Arabidopsis thaliana: one gene and its partner. The protein of the gene in region 1 interacts with the protein of each later gene in a biochemical or structural test. Each region holds a gene or a part of one and is shown on either strand. Other genes may lie near its edges.

Region 1 (4,795 bases):
AGAAGGAGACGGAGCCAGAGGAGGATAGTGATGGTGATGATGATGAGATCATTCAGCTTACTCCAGAACCTCTTTGTGAAGAACTTCAAGAGCTTCTCAGGGAAGTACGTGGACAGAAGAGGAGGAAGAAAGAGATGAGGTGGGACAAGTAAAGGAGCTATGGAGCTCCTGTAAGTAGCAAATTGATATATATGTTAGGAAGCCAAATAGTAGTAGTAAGCTATAGTATTGTGGTGAAAAAAGGTAAAACGACCCATCTTAACATCTCTTGAGATATTGGTTTTTAATAATTTGTGATGGAGTAGAGAAAGCAGATAGTCTTTATCAGTAGTTGTATGAGTCATACAATAGTACCCGAACCCACTTATCCAAAGATCAATGTCGAAAGTGGAAACCAAATCCCTCTAAAGTAAATTGAATAGCCAGTCTAAAAGTTAGACCAAATCTGAAAGTCGGTTTAATTGCAATTATACCTTCTAAATGCAAGAACCAATATCAACCGGTACTTCATATTCTTTTGATTTTTGATTTGTACATATAAACTTTTTTTTGTACATATAAACTTAAATGCAAGTATAGCTTGACTTGTATTTTACACATCAGCGGAAAAGTTTGAGAGAGGAAGCATATTGTATTTCGTTTGGTTACAACTTTTGCTAACTTTTACAATAAATGGAATGAAATTTTTTTCCACTTAATTCCTCCTGAATAGAAAGAAATTGATGCAATTTTGTTCCCTTTTTAAATCCATGAGCCAATAAGTGCATCTCCAATTATATTCCAAATTTCACTCTAAATACTAATTTAGAAAAAATCCTTTTAATACCACTATATTCTCAACTCTAAAAGGGAGTGATGAATATGGTATGATATCATCTGTCACTTCATTTTGGAGTTACCCTTTACTTTTTATTTACAAAATATTTTCCTAAATTTATACTCATGTTCTTCATTTATGTGTAAACAAAATTATATAAATGAAGAAAAAGAGTTATTGTTAACCTTCTCCATGTTTTCATTATAAATTGATATGAGCATTGGTTACCGTTCTTTCGGATAAAAACGAAGTTTATCTCTTGAAAACATTGTTCCTTTCATATTCATATCGCATCAATATATAATTGAAAAGTTCATTTATGGTGATCGATCAAATATATAACAAAATAAAATGAAAAAATACTTTAACATTTTATATATAATTTTTGAAGACAAAAGAGCTGTTTTTTTGTCTTTAATTGATTGGTCAACTGTTTACATATTCATTTTTTTGGTATGAACTATTTACAAATTCATGAATACAAAAAATATCTCAAATTTTTTTTTACAAGTCGATCCACTTAGTTCTTACCGTTTTTTTGGTATAACCATTATTTTATAAAACATCGTTCCCGCTAGATTTTTATCGCATCAAACATAGCGTACTACAAACGGAAACGGTCATCTATGGCGATCGATCAAATATACAACACCAAAATCGAATCCAAAAAATAGTTTACTTGAAGTATTTATATGTTTTGCTTCACTGCTAATTCTATGGTTTTGAAATCCTTTATTCTTCTCAAAAAAAAAAAAAGTTTGTCAATGGTTGTTGACATGGTCTTGCATAATATGTGGATAAATATTTGTTTTAATCATTTTCATCATCATTGCATATTCCCAAGTGTTATCAATTGTTTGACAAATAAAGAAAAATTAAAATTGATACCTTTTTATTTTAGTTAATTAATAACGAAACTGAAAATATTTCTCCCTTTGCATGCAATGTGGGTTTTAAAGACGGAAGCTGAAGAGTGAAGAAGAACAAAAGATTTTTGAGAGAGAAAAGTAGAGTCACTCCAAAATTGTTCTCTCGCAATCTTCTTTCTCGGTTTCCTCTTTTAAGAAAAAGTCCGCCATTTTCACTCTCACTCAGATTTCTTCCCTCTTCTCACCTGCAAAAACCCTTGTTTCCCGCTGTTTCGTTTCTTCTCCGGTTGAGGAACCAAAACGGGTCAAATACGCAGCTGAATCATCGAATTCTTAGGTATTTTCGTCTTACCCAACTCTTATCTTTAGATGTTTTTCCGGGAAAAGAGCTCGATCATGACTCCGCCGTGTTTTTTTTTGGGGGGGGGGGGGTTTCTCCGAAATGGGTTTCAAATGTAGGTTACTCTAGGTTTGAAAGTTCGGATTTTTTGGTTCACTGTGTGTTACTACAGCTTCGATTTTGTGTAAACGAGTATAAAAATTGTATCTTTTACAGATTTGAGAACTTGTTCTTCAAAGACTTGATTTTTCTTTGTATCAAGTTAGTGAGCTCAAATGTCTTTGTTTCTCTGTTTGTTTACATCTGATAAGAGCTAACTCGGTCTCGCTGGTGTGTGATTTTCGCTCGTTAGGGTTTTTTCATGGAGGAAGAATCTACATCAGAGATTCTTGACGGAGAGATTGTTGGAATCACATTTGCTCTTGCTAGTCACCATGAAATAGTAAGTTATAAGAGTTATACTCTCTGGAATTGATCCATCTTGTTCTGCATCAATGTTTATCATGGGTTTTACATAACTGAAGGATTTCGAATAGCTAAAACCTCTATGTTTTGGTTATCTTTGGCACTAAATTCACTATAATTGTACTCAAGCTCTGTGTGATGCTAAGTGCTACACTTTTGCATATAAATGTTGTTCTGCGATATATCCTCTGTCACTATTCCATTTCTCACTGGACTGTAATTCTTTCTTGCAGTGTATTCAATCGATTAGTGAATCCGCAATTAATCATCCCAGTCAACTCACTAACGCATTCTTGGGGTTACCTCTTGAATTTGGTAAATGTGAATCTTGCGGTGCGACAGAACCAGATAAATGTGAAGGTAATCCAGTTCCGTAGTTGCTATATTTTTGTTCTTACATCATTTGTTGGAATACTTCTTCAGATATCGGTATTTGTTTCTACATTTTCAGGTCATTTTGGTTATATTCAGCTTCCAGTGCCAATATACCATCCTGCTCATGTTAATGAGTTGAAACAAATGCTGAGCCTTCTGTGCTTGAAATGTCTGAAGATAAAGAAGGCAAAGGTATTACCTCATTGAGTTTTCTTAAATTCCATGTGATCCACACATAAATAAACCATATAAAATCTCGACTAATCTTTTTCACCTTTCTGAGTACAGGGCACAAGTGGTGGTCTGGCGGATCGCTTGTTGGGTGTCTGTTGTGAGGTGAGTAATGGCATATACATTCTGATTGTTTCCTTTTAAGTTTTACCTGAAAGCAAGTTGATAGATGTTTCTTATGTGAACCTGGTTCAGCATTTAGTTAGTTTTTCTAAGTTTTCCTTCAACTAGTTGCATGTTAGAAAACTTGCTAATTCAAATCTAAATAGTATTTGTGCTTCTTTTGATCCATTCAGTGAAAGTAACATTAATCAATGCTTGTGAAGCAGTAGCTATTGGTATTTTCGTGGCATCATGAAACATTCACTGCTTTATGTTATTTTGGATGTTATTATTGCTGAACGTCTTGGATTTTTAACTACTATATTACTTTATTAGGAAGCTTCGCAAATCTCAATCAAAGATAGAGCATCAGATGGTGCCTCATATCTAGAACTGAAGCTCCCATCTAGGTCAAGACTGCAGCCTGGTTGCTGGAATTTCCTGGAAAGATATGGTTATCGCTATGGAAGCGATTACACGCGTCCCCTGCTGGCAAGAGAGGTTTTTACTTTCTTCTGTGTGTTTATGTTTCTGTTTATGTAGGATTTTATGGTGACGTTCTTTTTGTTCATTTGGAATCATTCTCTATCTTTAAGATCTTTTCTTTCTGGAAACTGATGATTATGTACTTTCCGTGTCCTTTTCCATATGGTGGGAAAACAAATAGGTTAAGGAAATTCTAAGACGGATCCCCGAAGAATCAAGAAAGAAACTCACGGCAAAGGGACATATTCCTCAAGAAGGATACATACTAGAGTATCTTCCTGTCCCGCCTAACTGTTTGTCAGTGCCAGAGGCTTCTGATGGTTTCAGCACCATGTCAGTGGTAAGTTGAAACTAAATTACTATGTTGAGTTGAATGCTTTGGCTTGTGTTGTAACCCCTGGATTTGTGTCATTCTTATTTTCAGGATCCTTCCAGAATTGAGCTAAAGGACGTTCTGAAGAAAGTCATAGCCATAAAAAGCTCTAGGTCTGGCGAGACAAACTTTGAGTCGCATAAGGCTGAAGCCAGTGAGATGTTTAGAGTGGTGGATACCTATCTCCAGGTGAGGGGTACTGCAAAAGCGGCAAGAAACATTGATATGAGATACGGGGTGTCTAAGATCTCGGATAGTTCATCTTCAAAAGCTTGGACAGAAAAAATGAGAACACTTTTCATCCGTAAGGGTTCAGGTTTCTCTTCCCGTAGCGTCATCACTGGAGATGCTTACCGACATGTGAATGAGGTAGGGATCCCAATAGAAATTGCGCAGAGAATCACATTTGAGGAAAGGGTTAGTGTCCACAATAGAGGTTATCTACAAAAGTTGGTAGACGACAAGTTGTGTTTGAGTTATACTCAAGGTTCTACGACCTATTCTTTAAGGGATGGATCCAAGGGGCACACTGAGCTTAAACCCGGGCAGGTTGTTCATCGCAGGGTCATGGATGGGGATGTTGTGTTTATCAACAGACCCCCGACAACACATAAACATTCTCTTCAAGCGCTTCGGGTGTATGTTCATGAAGACAACACCGTGAAGATTAACCCTCTGATGTGTAGCCCCCTCAGTGCTGATTTTGATGGTGATTGTGTCCATTTGTTCTACCCTCA
Region 2 (7,552 bases), 5.2 Mb from region 1:
ATTGGAGTAACTAAAGATTGAATCAAATCCACGGGAAAATGCCATAACAGTATAACACATTAAATTATGATGAAATCATTTGCCATAAGACGGTATGAGAATCTACGGTCTCACTAATACCCTAACATGCATAGAATAAAAGAAGGGATAAATGAAAGCAATTAAACTATATATAGTAGATAATTGAAAACTAAACTAACAAAATTAAGAACTAAAATGAGCAAATAAACAAGATAGATAAATTGAACAATCAAGATGTTAGAAATCATGCAATCGATCTACATATTTTCAAGATAATGAACCTCTAACAATTAGGCTAATTCATGATTAGTGTGGTAAAAGCCTCTAACGTAACTTAGCCAAATTCAAAATCAATTTGGTAAACTATCACAATGGTTAAGAAACAATGCACACAAATTCCTTTAAGTTACAAAGCATCCGATCCTAAATATCACTTGCTAGATGGTTAGGCCAGAAATCGTTTTCTTTCAATTTTCTTTGGGTCTGAACGTAGACACAACTCAAACACCTCTCTTGATCTTGTATGCTTTAAAATGTGGTCTCTTCAAGTCGGGTATCTTGTTTGTTTTGGTTCCGAGTGCATCTGTCTTTAGCCACCTAGCTAGCTAGAAGGTAATTGTAGATATCCATTTTCACCAACTAGCTAGTTTTTGTCCTCCAGCTGGCTTGGCTAACTACGTACGTTCCAAATGTCAAACACTTAAAAACTATATGTCAACACTAACTAACTAAATTTATTATATCCTATATCTCAAGTGTACACAATGTATAATATTAATAACATAATTCAAGCACCTCCTGATCTTATATACTTCAAAAATGTGATGTCTCTCTAAGTGGAGTATCATTTTAATTTTGGTTCCAATTGCATCTGTAATTAACCATATATAGCTAACTTGCCGATGTGTGTAATATAACTAAACTATAGAGAATATTTGTAGATACCCTCATTCTCCAGCTGGCTAGCTATGTAAGTTCCAAATGTCACACACTTGACTATTTGTCTTTCTCCACTTATAACCTTAATCACAGATCAAGAATCATCTCCAATTATAGTTTTCTTTATTGAATCCACCTAATCTCTATTCACCAATTTATAATTTTTATAATTGCGGCTTAGATACCTTTTTAGTCAATAATCAAAAATGGATTCCAGTGAGGATCAACCATAAACGAGATCATTGAAGCACATAAACTAATTGACAATAAGTTACATAGTTTAGGAGACATAAAACTGTTTAAATTTTATATTGTGCTTAATAATAATTTATAATTATTGTAACACAGTTGTTAAATCCATAGTTATGTAGCATGTACGTGTCAATTAATGCGCACATTCAATATTAGAACACAGAAGGTTTGTCTACCACCACTACCAATTGAAATTAAAAAATTTAAAATAATCTAGCGGGACACAAAGCGAAGTCAATAACATAAGTCAACCATTTTAACGGTCAAGATTGTAAGAGTAGCTCTACTATGATGGAGCCGTGACGTAGAGGAACATAACTGAAAGCGAAGAATCCTCGATTTATGCTACTGTCACTGAACCATTTTCCTCTCAGGTCGGAGCTAAATTTTGAGAGTAAAATAAAAAAGCAAAAGAGAGAAATTGAAAAAAAAAGAAAGAAAAATAATCCTCTCTTGTTTCGGCTAGGGTTTCGTTTTTGTTTCATCGATAAACTCAAAGGTGATGATTTTAGGGTCTTGTGAGTGTGCTTTTTTGTTTGATTCTACTGTAGGGTTTATGTTCTTTAGCTCATAGGTTTTGTGTATTTCTTAGAAATGTGGCTTCTTTAATCTCTGGGTTTGTGACTTTTTGTGTGGTTTCTGTGTTTTTCATATCAAAAACCTATTTTTTCCGAGTTTTTTTTTACAAATTCTTACTCTCAAGCTTGAATACTTCACATGCAGTGTTCTTTTGTAGATTTTAGAGTTAATGTGTTAAAAAGTTTGGATTTTTCTTGCTTATAGAGCTTCTTCACTTTGATTTTGTGGGTTTTTTTGTTTTAAAGGTGAGATTTTTGATGAGGTTTTTGCTTCAAAGATGTCACCTTTCTGGGTTTGTCTTTTGAATAAAGCTATGAACTGTCACATGGCTGACGCAATTTTGTTACTATGTCATGAAAGCTGACGTTTTTCCGTGTTATACATGTTTGCTTACACTTGCATGCGTCAAAAAAATTGGGGCTTTTTAGTTTTAGTCAAAGATTTTACTTCTCTTTTGGGATTTATGAAGGAAAGTTGCAAACTTTCTCAAATTTTACCATTTTTGCTTTGATGTTTGTTTAGATTGCGACAGAACAAACTCATATATGTTGAAATTTTTGCTTGGTTTTGTATAGGATTGTGTCTTTTGCTTATAAATGTTGAAATCTGAACTTTTTTTTTGTTTGGTTTCTTTGAGCAGGAGATGGATTCAACAAATGGTAACGGAGCTGATCTTGAATCAGCAAATGGGGCAAACGGGAGTGGGGTTACTGAGGCATTACCACCTCCTCCACCAGTTATACCTCCAAATGTGGAACCAGTTCGTGTTAAAACTGAACTTGCTGAGAAGAAGGGGCCAGTTCGAGTTCCTATGGCTCGAAAAGGATTTGGAACAAGGGGCCAAAAGATCCCCTTGTTAACAAATCATTTCAAAGTCGATGTGGCTAATCTTCAGGGTCATTTCTTCCACTACAGTGTAAGTTTTTGAAACTATTTTGTGTTATTTTTGTTGGATGATTGATGTCACTAGAATGGATGCAGTGTGTATGTTTTTTTGCTACTGTTATGTTGACTTATTCTGTTATTTGGTTCTGAATGATGTCAAACTAATGGGATTATTTGTGGGTTTGTACAGGTGGCTCTATTCTATGATGATGGTCGTCCTGTTGAACAAAAGGGTGTTGGAAGAAAAATCCTTGACAAGGTGCATCAGACTTACCATTCTGATCTGGATGGTAAAGAGTTTGCTTATGACGGTGAGAAGACGTTGTTTACATATGGAGCTTTGCCTAGTAACAAGATGGATTTTTCTGTGGTGCTTGAGGAAGTATCTGCTACAAGGTAAAACATCATCTGACTATAGTCATTACATTGGTTGTGTGCTTTAGTTTTTGTTCTTAGTAAGGATTTTGTGAGCAGGGCTAATGGAAACGGAAGCCCCAATGGGAATGAAAGTCCAAGTGATGGTGATAGGAAAAGACTGCGTAGGCCTAACCGGTCCAAAAACTTTAGAGTGGAGATCAGCTATGCGGCCAAAATTCCTCTTCAAGCTCTTGCTAATGCAATGCGGGGACAAGAATCAGAGAATTCCCAGGAGGCAATACGGGTTCTTGATATCATATTGAGGCAACATGCTGCTAGACAGTAAGTGTCAAGTGTATATATGTATTTTGTTAATCTCATATATTTGTCTTTCTAATACCTATGGTACAAATTGCAGAGGTTGCTTGCTTGTTCGACAGTCTTTTTTCCACAATGATCCAACCAACTGTGAACCAGTTGGTGGTAACATCTTAGGATGTAGGGGATTTCACTCCAGTTTCAGAACAACGCAGGGTGGCATGTCACTTAATATGGGTACATAATTTCACTTGTACTTGATGTTGGTGTTTGATTCTGTCTGTTGTAGCAATAATTTAGTGTCTAATAGTTTATGTTTTGTTCTTATGCTAGATGTTACAACCACCATGATCATCAAGCCTGGTCCAGTGGTTGATTTCCTAATTGCTAACCAAAATGCTAGGGACCCTTATTCGATTGACTGGTCTAAGGTTAACTACTTATTATGATATGTGGCTTTTTCATAATCTAAACATGTTCCTTACCTCTTTTGCTTGGCTTGACACATTTTAACATGTTGTTTTCAACAGGCTAAACGAACCCTTAAGAACCTAAGGGTAAAGGTCAGCCCCTCAGGCCAAGAATTCAAGATAACCGGATTGAGTGACAAGCCTTGCAGGGAACAAACGTAAGATATTCACTAATTTGACTTTGTTGTGAGATGCATTTGTTTCTGTTTTAGTTTTCTGACGTTGTGATCTCTTTCAAAGATAAATGGTTCTCTGAAGTTTGCTTTTTACACTGTCTAGGTTTGAATTGAAGAAAAGGAACCCAAATGAAAATGGAGAGTTCGAAACTACTGAAGTTACAGTTGCTGACTACTTCCGCGATACAAGGCATATTGATTTGCAATATTCTGCGGATTTGCCTTGCATCAATGTTGGGAAGCCAAAGCGACCCACTTACATTCCTCTCGAGGTTTGCCTCTTATACTCATCAACGTTCTCATAGTCATGGTATTAATTTGTTTTCAAAAATCATGCTAATGTATGTAATGTGGTGGAATTTTCGCAGCTCTGCGCGTTGGTTCCACTTCAGAGGTACACAAAAGCACTTACCACGTTCCAAAGATCTGCCCTTGTTGAGAAATCCAGACAGAAACCCCAAGAGAGGATGACTGTTCTGTCCAAAGTAAAGTATCCTGACCGCTTCATAACTGTTCTGTTTTGTCAGTGAACTGGAATTTACATATCTTTGGTTTCATGCTTTCAGGCTCTGAAAGTTAGCAACTATGATGCGGAACCACTCCTGCGATCCTGTGGCATTTCGATCAGCTCCAACTTTACTCAGGTGGAGGGTCGTGTTCTACCAGCTCCCAAGGTATGGTGCGATCGCTTACTTTTTGACATGATGAATTGTTTTTAGCTTTTGCATACATGTAATATTCTCTTGTTTTCTTTGACTGACAGCTGAAAATGGGATGTGGATCTGAAACCTTTCCCAGAAATGGTCGCTGGAACTTCAACAACAAGGTGCTGTTTCTCTCTGCCTTTCTTTGTATTTTACCTGTTCAGAGAGTCTGATTCCCTTTGTTGTACAGGAATTTGTTGAGCCCACCAAAATTCAACGATGGGTTGTTGTCAATTTCTCTGCTCGCTGTAATGTACGTCAAGTTGTTGATGATCTGATAAAAATTGGAGGATCAAAAGGAATTGTAAGCAGGATTCTCTTCTTTTGTTTTTAGTATTCTTGAAAACTTGTTTGTGATTATCAACAATTTAGATACTGCTTCTTTCTGTATTCTGTCCCAGGAAATTGCTTCTCCCTTTCAAGTGTTTGAGGAGGGTAATCAATTCCGCCGTGCTCCTCCTATGATTCGTGTTGAGAACATGTTTAAGGACATCCAATCGAAACTCCCTGGTGTCCCACAATTCATACTATGTGTGCTCCCTGACAAAAAGAACAGTGATCTCTATGGTTAGATATCTCTTAAATCCAGTCTTCAATCATCTTTTTGTTTTATATAATAGAAGTTTCCTTGGATAAATACTTTGAATCCTTCATCAGGTCCATGGAAGAAAAAAAACTTAACTGAATTTGGCATTGTTACTCAATGCATGGCTCCAACGCGGCAACCTAATGATCAGTATCTTACTAACTTACTTCTGAAGATTAATGCAAAGGTGATCTCTCTCCTTTTTTCTCTTTTGGAAATGGTTTTTGCTTCTTGTGTGCAATCTCTGATAACATATAACTACAGCTTGGAGGCCTGAACTCAATGTTAAGTGTAGAGCGTACACCTGCGTTCACTGTGATTTCTAAGGTTCCAACCATTATCCTTGGGATGGATGTTTCACATGGATCTCCTGGACAGTCTGATGTCCCGTCCATCGCTGCTGTAAAATGTTTACTCACTGCTGTTGTTTGCTTTTTAGTTTGGCTAGTTCTTCAAGACTGATATTTAGTTGTCTCTTTTGTTATGATTAACTTAGGTGGTGAGTTCTAGGGAGTGGCCACTGATATCCAAATATAGAGCATCTGTTCGGACACAGCCTTCTAAGGCTGAGATGATTGAGTCCCTTGTCAAGAAAAATGGAACTGAAGACGATGGCATTATCAAGTGTGCACTTACACTAACTCTTGATGTGGCTTTTGTTTAATCTTTGCATGAAGTCTGGTTTAAGTATCTATGTAACTTTATTTGTTGATTGCAGGGAGTTGCTGGTAGATTTCTACACCAGCTCGAATAAGAGAAAACCAGAGCATATCATAATTTTCAGGTATGTTACATCAGAGCTTTTGTCTCTTCATTTTTCCCATCTTTATTTTCTCATATTGGTTGTTTCGATGTTTAATGCTTCTAGGGATGGTGTGAGTGAATCTCAATTCAATCAGGTTCTGAATATTGAACTTGATCAGATCATCGAGGTAGTTGAAACTTCAAAATAAAAGTTTCTCAGTGTAATTTTCTTCTTCTGTTAGTACTTAATTGCATTTCTCTTTCCTCAGGCTTGCAAGCTCTTAGACGCAAATTGGAACCCAAAGTTCCTTTTGTTGGTGGCTCAAAAGAATCATCATACCAAGTTCTTCCAGCCAACGTCTCCTGAAAATGTTCCTCCAGGTGATTGACAAATCTATATTATAACCTTTTTTGACACATAGCTGATCTCTATCTCATGGGGGTTTTGGTTATTTTGCAGGGACAATCATTGACAACAAAATATGTCACCCAAAGAACAATGATTTCTACCTCTGTGCTCACGCTGGAATGATTGTAAGTTTCATCTATCAACTCAAAACTTTATTTGTTAATGTTTGCTCCTCTGAATCGTTTTAATACTCTTTATGTTCTGAATTAGGGAACTACCCGCCCAACTCACTACCACGTCCTGTATGATGAGATTGGTTTTTCAGCTGACGAACTTCAGGAACTTGTCCACTCGCTCTCCTATGTGTATGTAGTCTCTTATTCAACCTTCATTACATTTTTTGTGACAACTTCGATTGTGATGATAACAGAAATTATCTGATTTCTTTCTTTGGCAAAATTCCAGGTACCAAAGAAGCACCAGTGCCATTTCTGTTGGTAATTACCATAACTGTTTTCTCTACTCCATCGATTTAAAGTCGTCTTCATTTGTTCTCTTAATAACTGACATTTTAATTTTTTGTGCAGTTGCGCCGATCTGCTATGCTCACTTGGCAGCTGCTCAGCTTGGGACGTTCATGAAGTTTGAAGATCAGTCTGAGACATCATCAAGCCATGGTGGTATCACAGCTCCAGGACCAATCTCTGTTGCACAGCTCCCAAGACTCAAAGACAACGTCGCCAACTCCATGTTCTTCTGTTAAATGAGCAGCCCTACTTGGCTCAGTAAGTAAGTAGTAGTTCAATAGGCTATCTGACTTTCAGCTTAGGATCTCTCTCGGCCTTGAAGCCAGGCATCGACACTAAGGCTTGGAATGTTTTTTGTGACTATTATCGCCAGCCTTGTTTGCCTGTTGGGGTTTGAATATGCTTTTGTCCCCCTTAACAATTCGGTTGTTTAATTAAAGACTTATTGTAGTGAATATCTAAGTTCAGGAAGTTACCCTTTTGTCTAAATCGTTCTTGCATTGGAAACAGACTACATACATAACCTAGACAAAGCAAAGCCTTTTGTGTAGTGCTCATGATTAAAAACTGAAACCAAAACAAATGACAGAACCTAGTCAAAGTTAAGAGTTCACGACTTGTTGTAGTGGATATTTCTGAAGTTTA

The links. The genes of interacting proteins can lie anywhere in the genome.
Region 2: the proteins of NRPD1B (region 1) and AGO4 form a complex in vitro, tested with the Arabidopsis thaliana proteins (2 studies listed by BioGRID).

What each region holds. Positions count from the first base shown.
Region 1 is NC_003071.7:16,712,702-16,717,496, forward strand, and holds the start of NRPD1B (nuclear RNA polymerase D1B), read left to right. Parts: upstream 1-1,758; 5' UTR 1,759-2,023; intron 2,024-2,378; 5' UTR 2,379-2,387; coding exon 2,388-2,468; intron 2,469-2,724; coding exon 2,725-2,851; intron 2,852-2,942; coding exon 2,943-3,058; intron 3,059-3,154; coding exon 3,155-3,202; intron 3,203-3,535; coding exon 3,536-3,700; intron 3,701-3,866; coding exon 3,867-4,025; intron 4,026-4,109; coding exon 4,110-4,795. Other genes in the region: AT2G40020 (Nucleolar histone methyltransferase-related protein), read left to right, coding at 1-152. UniProt on the Arabidopsis thaliana protein: DNA-dependent RNA polymerase catalyzes the transcription of DNA into RNA using the four ribonucleoside triphosphates as substrates.
Region 2 is NC_003071.7:11,536,386-11,543,937, reverse strand, and holds AGO4 (Argonaute family protein), read left to right. Parts: upstream 1-1,546; 5' UTR 1,547-1,711; exon of another isoform or gene 1,712-1,730; intron 1,731-2,431; 5' UTR 2,432-2,434; coding exon 2,435-2,707; intron 2,708-2,866; coding exon 2,867-3,072; intron 3,073-3,150; coding exon 3,151-3,375; intron 3,376-3,451; coding exon 3,452-3,588; intron 3,589-3,684; coding exon 3,685-3,782; intron 3,783-3,881; coding exon 3,882-3,979; intron 3,980-4,100; coding exon 4,101-4,269; intron 4,270-4,365; coding exon 4,366-4,482; intron 4,483-4,563; coding exon 4,564-4,671; intron 4,672-4,760; coding exon 4,761-4,823; intron 4,824-4,891; coding exon 4,892-5,005; intron 5,006-5,102; coding exon 5,103-5,268; intron 5,269-5,358; coding exon 5,359-5,474; intron 5,475-5,551; coding exon 5,552-5,689; intron 5,690-5,783; coding exon 5,784-5,911; intron 5,912-6,005; coding exon 6,006-6,071; intron 6,072-6,155; coding exon 6,156-6,219; intron 6,220-6,300; coding exon 6,301-6,412; and 10 more. UniProt on the Arabidopsis thaliana protein: Together with RDM3, required for transcriptional gene silencing (TGS) by DNA methylation and repressive histone modifications (H3K9me2) of several chromatin loci.